5 linked regions of the Xenopus tropicalis genome follow. The protein of the gene in region 1 interacts with the protein of each later gene in a pairwise test. Links are inferred from orthologs where the notes say so. Each region holds a gene or a part of one and is shown on either strand. Other genes may lie near its edges.

Region 1 (4,031 bases):
AAAATGCTTACGAAAAAATCGTATTAGTCACGATAATATCGTATTGGCGATCCGAATGTCACAAAATTTTCATACCGTACAATTGTAAACAGCGGCAAAAACTTTCCGATTTTTTCCTGCAAGCGTACGAAAAAGTTGTGCAGTGTATGAAAAGTCGTGCGGACACACGAAAAATTCGGCAAAAATACGCTCCTAGCGTTTGTGCCTTTGTAAATGTGCCCCCTAGAGTGTACTATAAAGGGAGCTACACCTGCCACTAATGCCTCATTCATGGGGCCCTGTTCCCCGACTTCAACTGGGCCTGGGCCCATACCCTGGGCTCACAGCCCACATCCACCCTGTTCCTCAGGTGGAAGCAAACAGGAAGGTGCCACTTCTCTCCCAGCACTATAACAAAGTGAGGCAGGATGTGGTCACCATACCTTCTAACCAATAGTACACATATGTTTATGAACTCACTTAGATACATTCCCTTTTGCCCAGCAACTAAGGGAATTGAAACTGTAGGGATTTAAAGCCATAGGGGCCATTTAACCCTATGGGTCCCTACACATCTATTGATTTTTCATCCATCGATCAGAAAAGTGATCGGGCAGGATTGAAAATTTTCATTATTAAAAATAAAATGTATTCATCATCCAATTGTATGCAGGGCTAAGCAGGTAGGTACCCACAGTGTTCCTAGCTTCAACTAGACAATATCGCTTGAAATTGTTTTCATTGATAAACAAATCATAAACGATTTTCAGGATAAGATTGGTCCTACAATAACAAACAATATCTTTCAAAGATCTTAAAATGTATGGCCAGCTCAAGTCATTACCTGTTTTAAATTATTTATACTTTAAAAGAGCAGACTCTAGTTATAAGAAGAAACTCCTATGGAGACAGATACAGTGCGCCGTGCATATTCTTATGGCAATGGTTAGTTTGCTGCTTAGTTGTGCTTCTGCCAAGGAGTCAGCAAATCCCTTAACACAATCTAACCAGTAGGCAGAAAGTTACCAGCACTATCGCAATCACACAGCTCCCCATCCACCTGCGCCACTAACATTAACTGCACAGGAAACCCTCTCCTGAATAAAGCATTAATCCGCAGACACAGCCAGCATGTGATTGGCCATTAGGTAACTGCGGAGGCGGGGTTAATATTGAGGGGCTTGCCAGTCATGTCTTTAAATCAGGCACCTGAGCGGCGTTAGCGTTGATAGGCTGGCCTGGCGCGATGTTGGCTGGCTTACTGGTTCGCGGAATAAATGCTCAACCGGGAGGCGGGATCTTCGTGACTGAAGTTCTGAACGTCTAATCCCGTAAGATTAGGGCGTGTTCTTTGAGGGATATTTGTGGGATGGGGATGGGATGACTGATGACTCCAGAAGGTGAGGTAAAGAGGAGAAGTAGGAGTGTCCCGGCTTCTTAGCGCATCTCTGCTTGGGACGTTAGAGTTGCTTGTCGACCGTGGCGCAGCGTTGGAGCATTGGCACGGTGCAATGCGATTGGGTACTATATGCATGTATTTGCTACTTGTAATGTTGGCTTTGTAGGTTGTGTCCCATTATATCGCTGTGAGCGTTTCCATCAGTGTTCGGCAAGGTGGAGCCATGCTAAAGTAGTTTATACATAACGCGCAGCTTATCCCGCAGGCTGAGTGCTGGTTGGGACGGTGCAGTTTGGTACAGCTATTTAATATGGTGGCGCCTCAACTGTTTAAGGATGATGGTGCTAATCTGTTATAAAGCCCATTTGACTCTGAGTGGACGGTCGGGGTTTTTAATTATCTGCTGTCCGTGTAATTTAGTATTGAACTCCCGGCATGCAGTCTGTTTGTGCAGGATTTATATGTGTTGGGCGGCGGGCTGCCCCATCCCTGGAGGCGTTTAGTTCCTGGAGCAAATGGCTTCCAACTGGCCTGGCAAACGCCATATCGCTCGCCTTCTTGCCTTTGTATAGTCCACTTAAGTGGTATGTGTAGGTTTAGCTATATAGGGATTAGTGTTATAGAAGCCATTTTAGTGGCTCTGTATTCCTATATCATTTTTTTTCCTCCCCCCTTGAGCTAAAAATTGAAAGTACTTCATGTTTTGTTCTTGCGTGCTAGATAATTACATTAATAGTTCAGATGTAAAGGTGGGCTTACAAGGGCATATTTTAAGATGGTGATTTGAGTTCTTTAGACCAAGGGTCCCCAGACTTTTTAAGGGGGGGGGGGCAGGTAAATTAACTTTGAGGTGGGGGCTCCCTAGTTTGAGGATGCCTGCTTAAAGGTCCCCATACACGGGCCGACTATAGCTGCCAATATAAGTCCCTTGGACCGATTCGGCAGCTAATCGGCCCGTGTATGGGGAGAGCAGAGCGGCCTGGCCGACCAATATCTGGCCTGAAATTGGCCAGATCTCAATCGGCCAGGTTAGAAAATCCGGTCGGATCGGGGACCGCATCGGCTCGTTGATGCGGTCCCCGATCCGACTGCCCCATTGCCGCCCACATAATCCGATCGTTTGGCCCCAGGGCCAAACGATCAGATAATTTTTTTTTTTACCTAAATGCTCCCCGATATCGCCCACCCGTAGGTTGAGCGGATCTGCTCGTGTATGGCCACCTTTAGACTGACTCGGCTGCTTATCTGCCTGTATATGGGCCCCCTGATGGGGCTCCCCATTCGCTAACTGGCTGAAAATTGGGCACGTTTGATTTTCCTGTAAGATTGGGGACTGATTTGCCTTACTGAAGCAGTCCTTGGTCCAACTGCCCCTTTACTCTTTGTAATTTGATTGTTTGGCCCTAGGGCCAAACTATTGAATTAGCCCAAAATCGTCCACCTTAGCTGGGCATATTGGGAGAAGATTCACTAGTCAACCTCGCCAAACGAGCGGATCTTAAAGGAACAGTAACACTAAAAAATGAAAGAGCTTTAAACTAATACAAATATAATGCACTGTTGCCCTGCACTGGTAAAACTGGTGTGTTTGCTACAGTAACACTACTATAATTTATATAATAAGCTGCTGTGTAGCCCCAGGGGCAGCCATTCAAGCTGGAAAAAAGGAGAAAAGGCACAGGTTACATAGCAGATAACAGATAAGTTCTGTAGAATACAATAGTGTTTTATCTGTTATCTGCTATGTGCCTGTGCCTTTTCTCCTTTGAATGGCTGCCTCCATGGCTACATAGCAGCTTATTTATATAAATTATAGTAGACTTTCTGAAGTAAACACACAACTTTTACCAGTGCAGGGCAGCAGCACATTATATTTTAGTTACTTTTATACACTTTCATTTTTTGGTGTTACTGTTCCTTTAATGTGTGCGCCCATCTTATCTGCACACTGGTAACCTCTACTTTCTGGAATATGGGTGAATTAAGGAGGCCAAAAACAAGGGTGTCTGCTGTTATAGGTAGACAGCTGTGAGTTACATTTGAGCAGTATTTAAAGAAATACTGTCATGTACTGTAAACAAAATAGTATACCATAAAAATCATGTCAGATACTTTTTTTTATGGAAAATTGATTTTAGAACACCCTTATGACATTGGTGGTGGTTTAATAAGATTTGGATATTGAAGGTGAACAACCCCTTTAAAGGACAGTTATACATAGTGTCTTTTTATATTTTTTCCATTTGTGCAGTCTGCTGAACAGTCATACTTGTCTACAAATGTCAACTTATGCAAACAGTGATTTATATTGTGTTGTGATCTCTTTGCAAATGCTAGCAGGGAGTCTAGTTTATCATCCAATGGGAAAACAAGGGTATTTTCCCATAGCATGTATGGATACCATAGGTCTTACAGCAAAAACTTCCCCTATATTGAATACAATTCAGTAGGACGCCGAGTAATCTTCCAATTTAAGATAATTAGGCTTTCCTAACCTTTCTTAACTTGTGAAGTTTAAATTATAAAATAATTAATACTGCTCTTGTCATGTTTTTCTAGATACAATGAAGCAAGCGCCAAGTAGCCCTGATAATGTTGCCATGCAAGATAACTTTGGCTGCGCAGTTGAAAACCGCTTCAACCAGCTTCTTGA
Region 2 (4,117 bases), on another chromosome or scaffold:
AGAATGAATACTTAACCAACAGATAGTTTATATAATTTTAAGTGACCTAGTAATCTCACCAAAATGGAATATATATATATATCAGTAAATATTGCCCAGCTCTAACCGTAACAGGAAGTAGTGTGGGAGTTAAAGACAGAACCCTGTCTATTCATTGGCTGATGGGGCCTAGCATGTATGTGTGCCTTGGCTTGTTTGTGTGCACTGTGAATCCTATGATCCCAGGGGGTGGCCCTTAATTCTTAAAATGGCAATTTTCTATTTATGATTACGCAATAGCACAAACTACTAAAAATGTCTATTTTTATGAAAATGGTTTATTTAGATGAAGCAGGGTTTTACGTATGAGCTTGCTTATGCAATATATTTTTGTAGAGACCTACATTGTTGGGGGCTATAGTTCTCCTTTAATGGTGGTTTCAATCCCAGTTTACAGTTTGGTTCAATCAAAAATAGTGAGAACTTTGCCATAGGCTGCGTGTGGCTTAAAGAGCAGAATTTTTTTTTTTTTATAAGGAAATTGTTCAGTGCAGGAGATACTGCAGTGTCCCTGCCCTAGTTCAGGTGGGGGAGTAAGGAGCAGGGCGCAAGGTGTGGACTATAATGCCAAAAGGTACCCCTACAAACAGAGATAACTCTATAAAGGAGATTCCCCAGTGGTGAAAGAGACCCAGTGGGGCACTGACTAATATAATACATGTAAAGCATGTTTTGAAGCACTTTTAATGTTTCTAATGTTTTATTTCCTGTTTATGACAAAAAAAAACTACTTATGCCTGCCGCCCAGTATCCTCATGATAGTTACGTTTTAAACAACAATATATCCAAGATGTGCGTGTTCCACACTTACGGCAGCTAACATTCCACAACCAATATGGCGCCAGCACACAGTCATATAAGCATGGGAACCCTCTCACGTGTGCTACAATCAGAACGCAAACTAGCCTGCGTACGGTCAGCCTATCCCCGCGATTTCTCTATTTGACAGGGAAAGTAGTCACCAGTTGATTTAATAGCCAATTCTGTTCTAGCGCTTATACCTATGCTTGGAATTCACGTTGTCATTCATATTTTCTTTTTTTGTCTTGTTTTAAAAGATTTTAAAGTAGCGCGATTTTTTAGCCTAAGTTGCACTGTACGACATTCTGCAACTCGCTGCCATGTTGAAACTCGTTTCTGGTGATGTAAACAAGTAATGCATCCGGGTAAAGGCGTCCTGACGCAAGGCGGCGCAGCGCGCTTACGTCAGGACGCCGCTTTGTATAAAAGGCGAGGCGAGGCCTAGTTCAGCCTCTCTTCGGTCGCTTTAGGCCCGGTGTCTACCATCTGTCTCCATCCTTTGCCGGTGGAGCGGTTTCGGACTCATCGCAGCCATGACTGAGCAAATGACACTTCGGGGGACCCTAAAGGGCCATAATGGCTGGGTCACGCAAATCGCGACTACCCCACAATTCCCGGACATGATTCTCAGCTCTTCCAGAGGTGAGATGCATGAGACGCCTACTGTAGCCTATCGATCCACGCAAGTTTATATGCATTGCGGTATCCGGGACCCCGTTTATCGTTAGAACAAGAGCATGAATGCTTACACGTTGCTTTTTTCAGCCCTGGTAAATGTGATTGCTGTAACTACTTAGTGTCGCTGTGTGATATGTTACTGTATCGGGGCTAAAATGGCTCCTCATTCATTATGCGTCATTGGAAGTCCTAACTATAATGAAGCTTTTCTTTATCTGTCGTTTTGATTAGCAAGGGAAAGATGGTGGTAGATTTTGCGGGCTAACTTACCTTTTAATTATGGTGTGAGCGATATATGATGTATAGTGGCAGCTATTGTTTGCTAGAACTTTGTTCCTTAGCCCTTGGTACTGAAGAATTTGCAGGCTGACAATGCCATAGAGTTGTATGAGCAGTGGTGGAAGTGTTTTTTCTTTGCACATCTCATGTCTTCATTTTTCTTGCATACTAGATAACCTCATTCTTCTGGCAGTTTGGGTTGTGCAAAGGAAAAACATCTTCACCTGCTTACAGACATAAAATGAGACACCGTAGACCAATGACAAGGTATGGCATGGCTTCGCTGTGATGGCATGGTTTATTTTGGGAGGGTTACCCCTGTGTGGAACTGCCTTGTTGGAGGTTTACTGCATAGAAGTTGAGGTTACCACTTATTTAAATCAGCAATAGTGTTCTTATGTCCTTTGACTTTTTTTTTTTTTTTTTTTTCCTCTCTGCACAGATAAGACTGTCATCATGTGGAAGCTGACTCGTGATGAAACAAACTATGGGGTTCCACAACGTGCTCTCCGGGGTCACTCCCACTTTGTCAGTGATGTGGTTATCTCTTCAGATGGGCAGTTCGCTCTCTCAGGATCCTGGGATGGAACACTCAGACTGTGGGATCTTACAACGTGAGTACACTTATCCTTGTTCCATTACCTGGCCTGTTAAATGGCTGCTTTTCAGAATGTTCAGCAAAAGTTACTGATCAGCAGCAGGGAATTAGACATGGTTTCAGTACTACAGAATTTGACTTATTACTTGGATAGAAGGAATGACTGGACTAACTTTAGCATTAAGAATCATTTGAGTCCACTTACTGTCAGACCAGAATATCCCTGCAGGGGAAGCATATGACAAAGGACCAGTTAAATAGTAACCTAGGTAGAGGGAAGCTATGAATCTGTCCCTCCCCCTGCAGGGTGGCACAGAAAGGAGTGTTCTGAGGGGAATGGATACTGTCATTTTGTCATCGTGTCAAATATCCCTCTGCAGTGGCACCACCACACGCCGGTTTGTAGGACACACCAAAGATGTCCTGAGTGTCGCTTTCTCTGCTGACAACCGGCAAATTGTGTCTGGATCCCGTGACAAAACAATCAAGCTGTGGAACACTTTAGGCGTTTGTAAATACACTGTGCAGGTATGTATGAGCGTTATAACTATATTTTAGTTCTGTTGGTCCACGTGATTAGAACAATTGTATTCTGAGTGTCTAATATAGGCACACTAATTTCAGGATGACACTCCTGCAATTATGAAGGGACCAAATAAACAGTCATTCTAGGTCTTTTGGCAGGCTGTTTACTAATGAAGCTGTCTTTCTTAGGAGGAATCACATACTGAATGGGTGTCCTGTGTCCGGTTCTCCCCTAACAGCAGTAATCCCATCATTGTATCCTGCGGCTGGGACAAGATGGTGAAGGTGAGTATTTTGGATGCCTCCAGTCTTAATACGGGTTCAGAGTTTTTTTTTTTTTTTTTTTTTTTTTTTTAAATGCATACTTGTTTGGTAAGTAAAGTGTTAAGCAGCTTTAAAGCGTTTTCACTCCCCCTTTAAATAGTGCACTACTGACCCCTCTTAAACAAGTACTAAGAACTAAGCCCTGAAAATAAGTGGCTAGAGATGCCCACTTTTATATACTGAATGTTCAGGTCTTCTGCAGTTGTCACGGGAACTCCCCATCTTGGATTTTATTAGTGTCGGTGACACTCGTGCTCAGTGTGCAGTTGAGATGCTAAGTCTAGGGGTTGTCGCAAATTTTCTAGCCTGTCAATAGTTCTAAGCTCGGGAAACAGAACAGAACAGAACATGTGCAGTGAATCATCAGAAAAGATGGGAAGCTACTGGGGCACATTACTTCTAAAGGGCTATGATTTCCTAGGGCTGTTACAAAAGCGCAAAACACATAATGTAAAAATAATTATGCCCTACTTCTGTAGTTAATCTTGCAGCTCTGCTTTCAGCCCCCATACATGGGCCTACCAGACACAGCATTTGAGTGATGAATGAATATTGTAGTGGCAGTACATGTGTGGCTTTTTTTTCTATTCAGTGTCGACACTGAACAAATTAGACAAATTGCAGAGTTGCTGCTTCCCTTCTGGCTGACTGGAAATTGGCCATGAGGACTGCTGATCCTTGATCTACCAGAATCATGGAATTATTTATCTTCCCCCCCCCCCCCCCCCCATCCTTTTGTATTGGCTATATAGGCACACAAAGTAGGCCCATATGGTCAAAATTGGCCAAACTACCCTACCAAGTCATGGCCAGTATCCTCTTGCACCTTTTTAAGAATACCATATGGTACAGGTTGTTTACTATATGAAATCT
Region 3 (4,043 bases), on another chromosome or scaffold:
GAAGAAAAGGCACAGGTTATATAGCAGCTAACAGATAAATCCTGTAGAATACAATGGTGTCTTATCTGTTATCGGCTATGTGCCTGTGCCTTTTCTCCAGCTTGAATGGCTGCCCCCATGGCTACACAGAAGCTTATTTATATAAACTATAGTAGTGTTTCTGAAGCAAACACCCCAGTTTTACCAGCGCAGGGCCACAGTACATTATATTTCAATTACTTTAAAACACTTTCATTTTTTGGTGTTACTGTTCCTTTAATAGACCAGTAATCAGTCAGTGTTGAACCATGAATTGTCAGCTCATACATCATTATTGATCTGACCTAACCAGTCAGAAAGACTAATTCATATTATTTAATTCTCATTTGCTTTTGTGGAGTTTTATTAAAATTATATGAGATAGATTTTAATGTGTCTTAAACTATCACATTTATATTAGTATTTGCGATGTGCATGCTGTTATTGCAGCTATGGAGCATACTGCAAGTTAGGCTGTGCAAGTGTACTGCTGATGTGACTATTCCCGCTATTATTAAAGCCCATTTATAAAACACTAATATACTCTGCTGTGTAATGTATTTGGGAAAATATAAGCAATAAGGCAGAAATTACACCATTGCGAAGAAACAAACAGAAATCAAGACATGAGGTCGGGGGGGCCTGCCCGTTAGACAATCCGAGGATTAGGAAATAAGCAATACGCCATACTTCCATAAAACCTTGGATTTGGACTCAGCGCCATAACAATAGACAGAGTCCGTTGCCTAAGCACAACCCCTTATATGAGTGATCTGGTATCATTACCTTCAGCTCATAAGGGCTGATGTGCCGGGAAACAGCTGAACTAAACACAAGTCAAATATTGAGGTACCTGCCCAATAGTTTATTGCATTTATCCTACCCCCCACACCTTACACTTTATTGATCACTGTTTATATCAGCCTTAGAGCTCAACAGCTACATCCCATCCAATAATGCAGACGCTAGAGGCAGAGACTAATCCCTCCAATCCTGTTATTGACATCTGCCTTAGCCAATAAGATTACAGAAGGAACACATCCAAACAGAGCGCGTCGATTCTTGATTGACAAGCCATTCGACCATACAACTGCAGAGTTTTTTACTAAACCCGTAGACTGACAAGCCAATTGACCAATAGGATAATAGCCAGGGCGGGATGTCTGCGATGATTAACCCGTCTGTAAGGCCATTGCCAGGCAGTTCGATCGGTAGCGGGAGCGGAGAGCGGACAGCAGGGAGCTCGAAAGGCAGCAGCCCCACCGCCGGCCTGAGTTACCATCAACACCCCGGGGGGAAGTTAAAGCGAGCCAACCGCCGGCCCGAGTCACCACCTCCGAAAGCAGCCAACTTACACCATCAAAGACACAATGAGCAGCGAGGTTGAAACACAACAGCAGCAGACAGTCGCATTGGAGGGCAAGGCCGGCCAGGAACCGGCGGCCACCGTGGGGGAGAAGAAGGTCATCGGTAAGTACGATTGAATTAGCATACGAGAGATGCCTCTCGGACACAGGCAGGGCTGGGTATTTGGCGCGTCAGGCTCAATATGACTACTACTCCCAGCATCCCCTGTGCAGTCACGTTGGTTAAGGCGATTACTAGATATTTGCACAAACAGGCGCGGTTATCTGTTTATTTATAGTGTGAGGGAGCGGTTTTCGCTTTTACTATAGGGCGCGGGTGAGTGGCGGTTACACCGACGTGGAGTGTCGTGCCACGCGGAGTTGTTGGTGACGGATCTCTGCCCCCCCCGGCGCCGTGACATCACCCCCCCCCCCGCAGCGCCGTGACATCATCCCTTCCTGTGTCCTGAGAGGAATAGGGCCTGTAACATGTCCGCCGCCGCCTGCGGCCTACACCCCCCCCACCTCCTCTTTTGTATGCCGCCGCGCCTTTGCTGGGTCCCCAGTAGCGCCTCTGGCCTCACGTTTGCTTTGCAAACATACGGGGGAGTGTGAGGGCCGTGATGGCGCTGGGAATTGGCGGCTCCGTGTGTCCCGGCTGCTCGGGTTGCGGCTCTGGCCCGGCTCCAGCCACGTGGTGTGTGAGTAGTTGTGGCACGGAGCTGCTCGTACCGCCTGGGCCTGAGCGGGAGGGGCATGAGAGCCATTTTAGTCTATCTTTGCACTCGGCTTGCTTAGTAGCAGCCTTTATAGCGCTTGGCAATAAACGGGGATTCTGGGAGTTGTAGTTTTTCATTTGAAAAAAAGAATTGACAACACTCTTATGGCCCCAAATAGCAATGTTTGTTTGCTGATGCCTTTAATTGTAATTCCGTGTGTTTATATAGCAGTGAGTGGGAATGCACACAACCAGTTGCATTACTTTCCCTCAGGAAATGTTGCTACCAGGGCCATGGGATAGGGCTTTGTTTTTGTTCCTCTTCCCCCATCCACCCCCATCCATCCTACTCAATGTAATTACTGTATAGCTGTGCCTGGCCCAGTAGCCATTGAAGTTGTATGTCCAGATAGCCATTAAACTAGCAGTGTTTATGTATTGCTTTGGCTTGTATCTCACTGGCTGCTGATCAATAAGTTGCATGTAACTAGTATTTATAATTTCTAATTATTTTTTTTTGTAAAAGTTAGCTTTCCAAACCACCACCCACCCCCTGTGTTTATGGTGCTACTGTGCTGCCAGAAAGTGATTGCTCTATTGTGCATATTAGATTGATCTTGTGCCTCACTCCAAACTAACGATTTTTTATTTTCTTTCAGCAACCAAGGTTTTGGGTACGGTCAAATGGTTTAATGTGCGCAATGGTTACGGCTTCATTAACAGGTGAGTTCATATTTCTGCCCCAACTTAGATTAGTAATTTGGTAAACTTGTTACAGCCTGCCTGACCCTTCGGGGCCATGCACGTGGTACTTCCCATAAATGCTTGTTTTAATATGGTTTAGCAAGTATATATTCCAGGATATGCGGTTAAGCAATACCAGAAGTTACTTAAATTACTTAACACTTGGGGAAGGCATAGTTTAAAAATGTTTTTATAGAGATGGGGAGCTGCTGTATTGCTTGCTTCCTAAGTAGCACTGCCTACCGGTTTCAGCGCTGTACTTCTATGAATGCCTGTGCCAAGAAAATGATCTTTGCCTGTCGCTGTTGTAGAAATTCAGATACACAACAAAAACAGTAATTGCACCCAGTAGCCAGGGCTGGCATGCTTTAATTCAGCTTTCCCTTATCCTTTCGACTGTATCTTAAGATTTTTCTGCTTTTTGAAAGGAAATGTACTTTTTTCACATAAACCAAATAAATCGGTTTGTTAAAAACAATTATATAAGATGGCTTCTTTCCTAAAATGTCAGAAATGAGCTATATGATGTGGGCTTTATGGAGAAAAAAAGGATGCTGGTTGAAATATATTTTCATTTGCCCATTCTTTGTCTAAAGGCAATGCTTTGTGGTTGGTAGAAAAAATGCCTTTCCAGCATTATTCCTATTTTTGTGCTTATGTTGCCTTTAGTGTTTGACCTATACATATAAATTAATTTGCACAGTACAAGCCTTTAATCTATTTTTGTTTTGTTTAGCTTTGTTGTGCTGTGAAAATTTCTACCTTTTGTCGTTAACATTTTGTTTTTATCCTTATAGGAATGACACCAAGGAAGATGTGTTTGTACACCAAGTAAGTATTCCACTTATCTGGGTTTTTTTTACAGATGTCTAGTCCAATCTAGTATAGAAAATGTATTCTATAACTTCTAATATGGTAACTTGTATTTGAGTATAGTGTTGATCAAAGCGGATTGCCTTGGTGTAATAAAAGAATGCATACTGAATAGAAAGTCATGACTGTTCCACAGTTGGATAGGACATTTTCCTACACCTTTTTATATTGCCATGGAACTAGATAGAGCAAAAGCAGATTTAATCAGTTTTCAGCATTTGTTCAGATTTCTTTTAATGTCTTTTTATTTAAAAAAAAAAATATATTTTTTTTAGACTGCCATCAAGAAGAATAACCCTAGGAAGTACCTTCGCAGTGTGGGAGATGGTGAAACTGTTGAGTTT
Region 4 (3,292 bases), on another chromosome or scaffold:
TTTACTGTATCAGCAAAAAAAATCTCTGATCAGTATAATATGTTTTAGATCAAATTCAATGGCAACTTCAGTTTTTTGGTCTCTGAATTACATTTGTGTAGCATATATATTTGACATTAAAACTTTTTTTTTCATTTTACAGCCTGAGCTTGTGTCTACACCCAATTTTGTTGTAGAAGTTACAAAACTGGATACCAACCACACCCTGGTTCTTGACTGTCACTATCCAGAGGATGAGGTACACACAACTAAAATATAAAATGTTTTGTTTTGCATTTATCTGTTATCCTTTTATATGTATGTACAGTTAAGTCTGCAACCATTCTAATGTCAATGTGAGTTAGCATTAGGACTGCCTGTGCAGCTGACATATTTGGATCTGAAACATCTGTTAAAAAAAAAAAAAAAAAAAAATAAAAAAAAAAAAAAAAATATATATATATATAATATATATATATATATATATATATATATATTAATTAGCTCATAAGTAGACATCAAGCAAGGCAATTTTTTGGGCCTCACTGGGCCCTTTATCAAGCCAGCACTTTACAGTTGCGCAATATTTTATATACTGAACTTCTTGGACCAGCATCTCTATAGCAGCAATGATCCAGGACTTTAAACGTGTCACAGGAGCTCCCCATCTGGGAAAGACACTCACATGCTTGGTGTGCTCTGGGCAGCTGTTGAGAAGCTAAGCTTAGGGGTTGTACCAAATTATCAAGCTGAAAATTATGTTGGTCTATCATAGAGGGAGATGCAACAGGGCTGATAAACACTAGTTTATCACACCAGTGTGCTCTGAGCAGCTGTTGAGAAGCTAAGCCAAATTATCAAGCAGAAAATGAGGTTGGCCTGTCATATAAGCTAATGCTAAAGGTCTGATTATTAAATTCTAATGCTAATTGCAGTGGTTTCAGAGCTGCCATATATTGTATATTGTGTGTCTGTCCCTAAGCCCTAAGTAACTGATAGCAGCACAGAGCATGTGTTGTTAATCAGCAAAAAAGAAAATGGGGAGTTACTGGGGGCACCTTTTGGAGGGCTGAGGGACTGTTTTTGCCTTGGGCTGGTACAGAAGCCCAAAACCTTATTAGAAATCCAGAAGCACACCAATAATTTGAACTGTGTCAAAATGTGATTTATTTATTTTACATCTGCAAAAAGGGCCCCTCTAGGCCTACTTCTTTCATTTGGCTATAGTTCTCTTTTAAGGGTTCTAAAAGAATTGATAGCACTCTTTCTGGTACCCTAGTTTGGGTATGCATGCTCATGGGAATGAAGATCCTGCAGACTACAAACCTTTCCTTCTGTTTATGCAAAGTTTAAAAATCCTGCCTTCCTTCCACAATTTTTCAGTATTGCTTCTCAAGGAATGCTTGTTACTTTTTTCCTGACTATGACTTTATTTATAAACCTCTTTACAAAACAAATGTGTGGTTAAATAAAGTTGTTTTTTTTTCTTGTTCAAAATTAAGGTTGGACATGGGGAAGAAGAGGAAGAAAGTGACATTTTTACTATTCGGGAGGTTAGCTTTCAGCCCACAGGAGATACAGAATGGAAGGAGAACAGCTATACACTTAACACTGATTCACTTGACTGGGTTGGTATAGCTTTTTTAAACCAACATTTTACATTTTCATGTCAAAATCCATGACCAACCCACCTGGTGGGTATGGCACCAAAGGCAGATTTGGGTACTTGAAAACCATGTTTTTTTGTTTTTTTTTAGTAGGCCACATAAACTGCAAAAGCACCCAATGACTTCTGTGTGAATCTCTAACAACAGGCTTTACTTATGTACTTAACTTATTAGTTGTCTGAAAACATGGGAAAGTTGTCTTGCAAGTGATTCGCATAGAAGTCGATAGGTTTTTTGGCTGCTTAAATCACAAATTGTCCTGTGTGCCATAGCCCTTTGCAGGATCTTGTACTGTCTAGAGGTCTTTAGACTGTCTTGAAGCTAGTCTGATATTAAAGCGGAGGGCTTTGTAGTGGTAATATCACTGGAGAGGCTGAGGTATAGATGGTGATGTCATGAGCAGGAAGGGACCTTAAGTTTGTCCTGCAACCTGCCCCATGCATCAGTAATATCTTCTAAATTGGCCTCAGTTTAGCAACCATTTGTTGGTTTAAAATATTGTATGTTAAGTAGACTGTTCTGATGATTGGTTACTGACTTGGTCATAATTGCACCAGTGTCCCTGCTTAAATATCAGGTAAAGACGTTGTGATAACTTTGTATATTAACTACTGGTGTTTGAATCTTTTGTAGGCCCTTTATGATCACTTAATGGATTTTTTGGCTGACCGTGGAGTGGATAATACTTTTGCTGATGAGCTAGTGGAACTAAGCACTGCTTTGGAGCACCAGGAATACATCAAGTTTCTAGAAAACCTTAAAGACTTTGTTAAATGCTAAGAAGACATTGAGAAGCAATCACCTTCTGTTCTAAAGGTTGCGGCCAGAGGAGGATCTTGTTGCATGTCATCTTGCATAATGGACATTTTAAATCTGTGGGATGTGTTGTAAAATCGGACAGATTTAAAATTGTGAAAAGGCAAGAGGTTTTTTTTTTTGTTTTTTACATTCTATAACAAATGTCAAAGTATGTAGAAAACAAAATCATCCATAACAAAAATGGTGTCTATTGATGTAACAAGATTTGCTTAAACCCACTTATGTTTAGACAACCCTTTTGTTTTTTTGCTTATGTAAGGCTTCATCTATTATTTTTTAATAAATATATTTCAGAAACAGATCTAACTTCTTAAAACTTAATTAAGTTTATTTCTGTGTATTGTTTCCTTATATGCCTACACCATTTTCATACGTAAAGGGACAGCATAGACCTAAAAACACCTTCAGTTTTTTTTAGAAAATTTTTTATCTTTTTCCAACTTATAGAACTTTTCGTTATGTCCACGATAATTTCATTAAAATTCCACAACTTTTTTGTGGTTTTCGTTAACTTCCACAGAAAGTCGTATTTTTCGCAAAGAATACAACCATTTCAGAATTCATTCAAGCTTTGGTATCGTGGCTATCTTTTGGCCAGGTTTGATCTGTAGAGTGCCATGGAAGGCTTCCAAAATCATACATTGAAGGTTTCAAAGCCAGAAAGGTTTTTGCGCCGTTTACGAATGTTCAGATCCAAAAATTGTGACTTTCAGAACACAACCACAATATTTTCGTACGACCAATAAACGATTTTCGTGACATTTTCGAACATCAGAAATTATTGTGGTTACTCCAAATTTTTGGCATATCGTGATTTTAACCACAAA
Region 5 (3,515 bases), on another chromosome or scaffold:
GGGGGGGGGGGGGAGATCAAACCCATGGTTTAAGGCAGGGATCCTCAAACTACGGCCCGTGGGCCAGATCCAGCCCCCCAAGGTAATTTACCCGGGCCAGATGTGTCCCCACTCCTGGCTACTACCTGTCTGCAGACGCAGCTGGGAGCAGGGAGCCGGAGAACGCAGCGGGGTAACAGGGAGCTGAAGGGCACAGCAGGGGAAAAATGGAGCCGGGGGGGCGCAGCGGGGAGCAGGGAGCCGGAGGGCGCAGCGGGGGAGCAGGGGGCACAGTGGAGAGAAGAGAGCCGGGGGGCACAGCGGAGAGAAGAGAGCCGGAGGGTACATTTGGGAGCGGGGGAACAGGGAGCGAGGGTATGCAGCAGGGAGGGGGGCGTAGTTTGAGGTTTTGAGGCATAGTTTGCGGACGCGGGGGGGGGGGGGATATTCGGAGGACTACAGTCCAGCCCCCCAACAATCTGAGGGACCATAAACTGGCCCCATGTTTAAAAAGTTTGAGGACCCCTGGTTTAAGGTTTAGCCTGTTTTCATGAGTGTTCCGTTTTGGGCAGGACTACATGCTTCTTACCAATAACACCTTTTGGTAGGTACCTTGATGGTGGCCAGAGAGGTATTAACAAATAAAATGGCTGCTTTCTCTACATGACACGTATAAGGATAAGACCATTGGGCCAGCCTTCAGACCTGTGGTTGATGATTCTCTGGATAGACATCCACTCAGGCTTTATGCCGTAACGGTAGAATCTTTCCTCTAAGTCGGAGTACTCGGCATCCTTGCTTTTCTCACTCTTGCCCTCGTCCTCCCCGGAGCCGTAATCAAAGGGAGGGGGTTCGTCCATGTCGTTCTTCCGTTGGAAGTTGCGGTACATGACTGTATGAAAGATCTCCAGCTGAAAGGAGGGGGGAGAGATCACTGTGAGGGAGGAGACAGAAGGGAAGAAAAAGGAACGGGGGTGACACGGAAAAATACATGGAAGTTATATGGGAAGAAAGGTGGGGTGGGAGGAGGATACAGCAGGTTTAGGTAAAGTAGTATTGATACAAACAGCATGGGGCGAGAAGGACAAAAAAAAAAAAAATTAAGAAGGGAGGGAGAAAAAGAGAAATGGTGACCTCTAGCTCTGCTGTTCATGTGAATGTATATAATACAAAAGAGCCATGAATATCCGGTAAAAGATACCCTTATAAACGGTGCTTAGTGATGTCGTTTCTGTCACATGACTCACTAAAACTTGTATACTATAATAAAGTACCCCCTATTGTAAAATATGAAGGTATTAGAAGTCACCTCAGTGCTCCATGACCTGTATAGAAGCTTTTATATGGTCATGGGACTCCTCTGTGACTTATAATATCCTTATATTTTACAATAGGGGGTACATTCTCCTCTATAAAGGCCCAGCACAGACCTGTAGCTCAGTGATCCAGCAGCAGTGCCAGTACGACATCCCTGCCCACTTGACAAAGAACTCCCTCTCCGAGCGCCCTTGCAAGGCTCGAGGCGGCTCCTCATCTTGGGCCCCATCCAGCGGCTGAGGGAGCGGGACTCCTTCAGGGGGTACGCCCCAGCGCCAGTGTAGGATTTTCTGCACTTTGCCCTTCAGTTGTGGGCACTGCGGGAACGGGAGAGAGAAAGTGTTATAAAGATGGCGACGTTTCCCATAATCCAACTGCAGGCGTTTGTGCAACATTCTACTGCTGAAATATGAAGTCTGAAACTGCCTCCATCAAAGACAATGGCGCTTTAAAGGGGTGGTTCGCCTTCAATTTAACTTTTAGTATGTTATAGAATGACCTATTCTAAGCAACTTTGCAATTGGTTCTCATAATTTGTAGGGATGCACCAAATGCTAACTGGGGGGGGGGGGGTAAAGGCATTCTTTTTAACTACTTACTGCATATCTAAATTCCCATATCCCTGCTTGCTTCTCTGAGATATGGTGCTGGCAGCCTACAGCAGTGTGAAGCCTACAGTGACATCACTGAAATCTCTCTCCCCTTCCTGTAGGTGCCAGCGGCAGCCTTCCTATTCTCTGAGCATGTGTGTAACTTGATCCTGTCTCCTGTTCTGAGCTACACATGCCCACCAGCCAATCAGAAGCGGATCTGCCAGAGGGGAGGGGGGGAGGGAATGAAACACATGTGCAGTATGAAGCAAGGAGGGAAAGGAAGGGAGAATACCTTTTTAGAGATGGCTGCCTGTTCTAGAAAATGTGAAGTGTGACTGAGTAAACATTTGATTAGGTGAGCCAAAAGTGTGGCGTTTTTACTAAACCGAACCCTGCCAAAAAAGGCAAAATCCTGGCCAAATACCGAACCGAATCCAGGATTTGGTGTATCCCTAATTTGTTTTTTTTATAGTTTTTGAAATATTCTTCTGTCTCTTTGCAGCTTTCAAATGGGGGTCACTGACCCCGGCAGCCAAACCCTATTGCTCTGTGAGGCTCCAGTTTTATTGTTATTGTTACTTTTTACTAGTTATCTTTCTATGCAGCCCCTCTACTATTCATATTCCCATCTCTCCTTTAAACCTCTGCCTGGTTGCTAGGGTAAATAAGACCCTAGCAACCAGATAGCTGCTAAAATACCCAATGGAGAGCTGCTGGACAAAGCTAAATAACTGAAAACCCATAAAAAGTAATTGCAAATCGTCTCAGAATATCAATGTCTACATCATACTAAAAGTTAATTTAAAGTGTACTACCCCTTTAAGGGCAAGGTCACACAAGGCATTTTTTTTAAAAACACGGATTGGAGCGTAAACACTTTATTGTTCTGCGTTTCTCGGCCTGTAGCCTTTTCCCAACATGCATTTCAGTTTCTTCTCATTCACCCCAATTCCCATGTGTAATGATGCAAATGTGCTTCATCATTTCCGTTCTGTAATAACGCAAAATATCTTTGCGCCATCATTTCCACAGTCCCTTTCCCTTGTAGTGTCACATGATCACATTATGTATGAACTTATCGCCCATACATAATGTAAATACATCATTGGCATATAATGACGCAAATTTGTATATGCGCAATGCATTTTGCAAGAGTTTTCCGCCATATTGAAAATACGTGGGGTATTTCAGCAAAGCTTCCCAACCTGTGGATCCCATAGAGTTTAAAGGTACGGCGGGTATCAGCTTTTTTTTTTTATTCCACTATTATCAGTAGCTTGATTCCGCTTTTTTAAAAACGCCCCATGTGTCCTCACCCTAATGGACATGTGGACAAAGATACAAATGATTCACGATTTCTCTCTCACCGTGCAGCGCGGGCAGAGCCACTCCCCGTGTGGAATGTCGGGCAGCGGAGGATTGAGGCAGTGGATGTGGTAGGAGGAGACACAAGCATCGCAGCACAGCAGCTCCCCTCCATCTTTACACACTCGGCAGAACTCCATGTGGTCGTCTTCCTCCTCCCGCCTCTCCCTTTTGGGCTCTTCCATCTCTTCTTCCTCGAGCTCCTTGGCTTCCCACTGGACACCCTCCTTCTCCTGTCAAGCAAGTGATGTTTTAGTAGGT

What was found.
Region 2: the proteins of habp4 (region 1) and rack1 interact in a two-hybrid assay, tested with the Homo sapiens proteins (2 studies listed by BioGRID). The link is inferred for Xenopus tropicalis from reciprocal best matches to the Homo sapiens genes HABP4 and RACK1.
Region 3: the proteins of habp4 (region 1) and ybx1 interact in a two-hybrid assay, tested with the Homo sapiens proteins (2 studies listed by BioGRID and IntAct). The link is inferred for Xenopus tropicalis from reciprocal best matches to the Homo sapiens genes HABP4 and YBX1.
Region 4: the proteins of habp4 (region 1) and c1qbp interact in a two-hybrid assay, tested with the Homo sapiens proteins (2 studies listed by BioGRID and IntAct). The link is inferred for Xenopus tropicalis from reciprocal best matches to the Homo sapiens genes HABP4 and C1QBP.
Region 5: the proteins of habp4 (region 1) and chd3 interact in a two-hybrid assay, tested with the Homo sapiens proteins (3 studies listed by BioGRID and IntAct). The link is inferred for Xenopus tropicalis from reciprocal best matches to the Homo sapiens genes HABP4 and CHD3.

Annotation. Positions count from the first base shown.
Region 1 is NC_030677.2:136,235,204-136,239,234, forward strand, and holds the start of habp4 (intracellular hyaluronan-binding protein 4), read left to right. Parts: upstream 1-1,219; 5' UTR 1,220-1,310; intron 1,311-1,358; exon of another isoform or gene 1,359-1,490; coding exon of another isoform or gene 1,491-1,500; intron 1,501-1,800; exon of another isoform or gene 1,801-1,962; intron 1,963-3,937; coding exon of another isoform or gene 3,938-3,978; coding exon 3,979-4,031. UniProt on the Homo sapiens protein: Ribosome-binding protein that promotes ribosome hibernation, a process during which ribosomes are stabilized in an inactive state and preserved from proteasomal degradation.
Region 2 is NC_030684.2:71,557,593-71,561,709, reverse strand, and holds the start of rack1 (receptor of activated protein C kinase 1), read left to right. Parts: upstream 1-1,304; 5' UTR 1,305-1,373; coding exon 1,374-1,482; exon of another isoform or gene 1,483-1,610; intron 1,611-1,969; exon of another isoform or gene 1,970-2,064; intron 2,065-2,239; coding exon 2,240-2,411; intron 2,412-2,775; coding exon 2,776-2,923; intron 2,924-3,109; coding exon 3,110-3,205; intron 3,206-4,117. UniProt on the Homo sapiens protein: Scaffolding protein involved in the recruitment, assembly and/or regulation of a variety of signaling molecules. Interacts with a wide variety of proteins and plays a role in many cellular processes.
Region 3 is NC_030683.2:94,733,994-94,738,036, reverse strand, and holds the start of ybx1 (nuclease-sensitive element-binding protein 1), read left to right. Parts: upstream 1-1,233; 5' UTR 1,234-1,388; coding exon 1,389-1,488; intron 1,489-2,741; coding exon 2,742-2,805; intron 2,806-3,623; coding exon 3,624-3,657; intron 3,658-3,974; coding exon 3,975-4,043. UniProt on the Homo sapiens protein: DNA- and RNA-binding protein involved in various processes, such as translational repression, RNA stabilization, mRNA splicing, DNA repair and transcription regulation.
Region 4 is NC_030678.2:105,094,764-105,098,055, reverse strand, and holds the end of c1qbp (complement component 1 Q subcomponent-binding protein, mitochondrial), read left to right. Parts: intron 1-142; coding exon 143-238; intron 239-1,481; coding exon 1,482-1,607; intron 1,608-2,279; coding exon 2,280-2,426; 3' UTR 2,427-2,786; downstream 2,787-3,292.
Region 5 is NC_030679.2:146,922,113-146,925,627, forward strand, and holds part of chd3 (chromodomain-helicase-DNA-binding protein 3), read right to left. Parts: intron 3,488-3,515; coding exon 3,257-3,487; intron 1,614-3,256; coding exon 1,410-1,613; intron 891-1,409; coding exon 685-890; intron 1-684.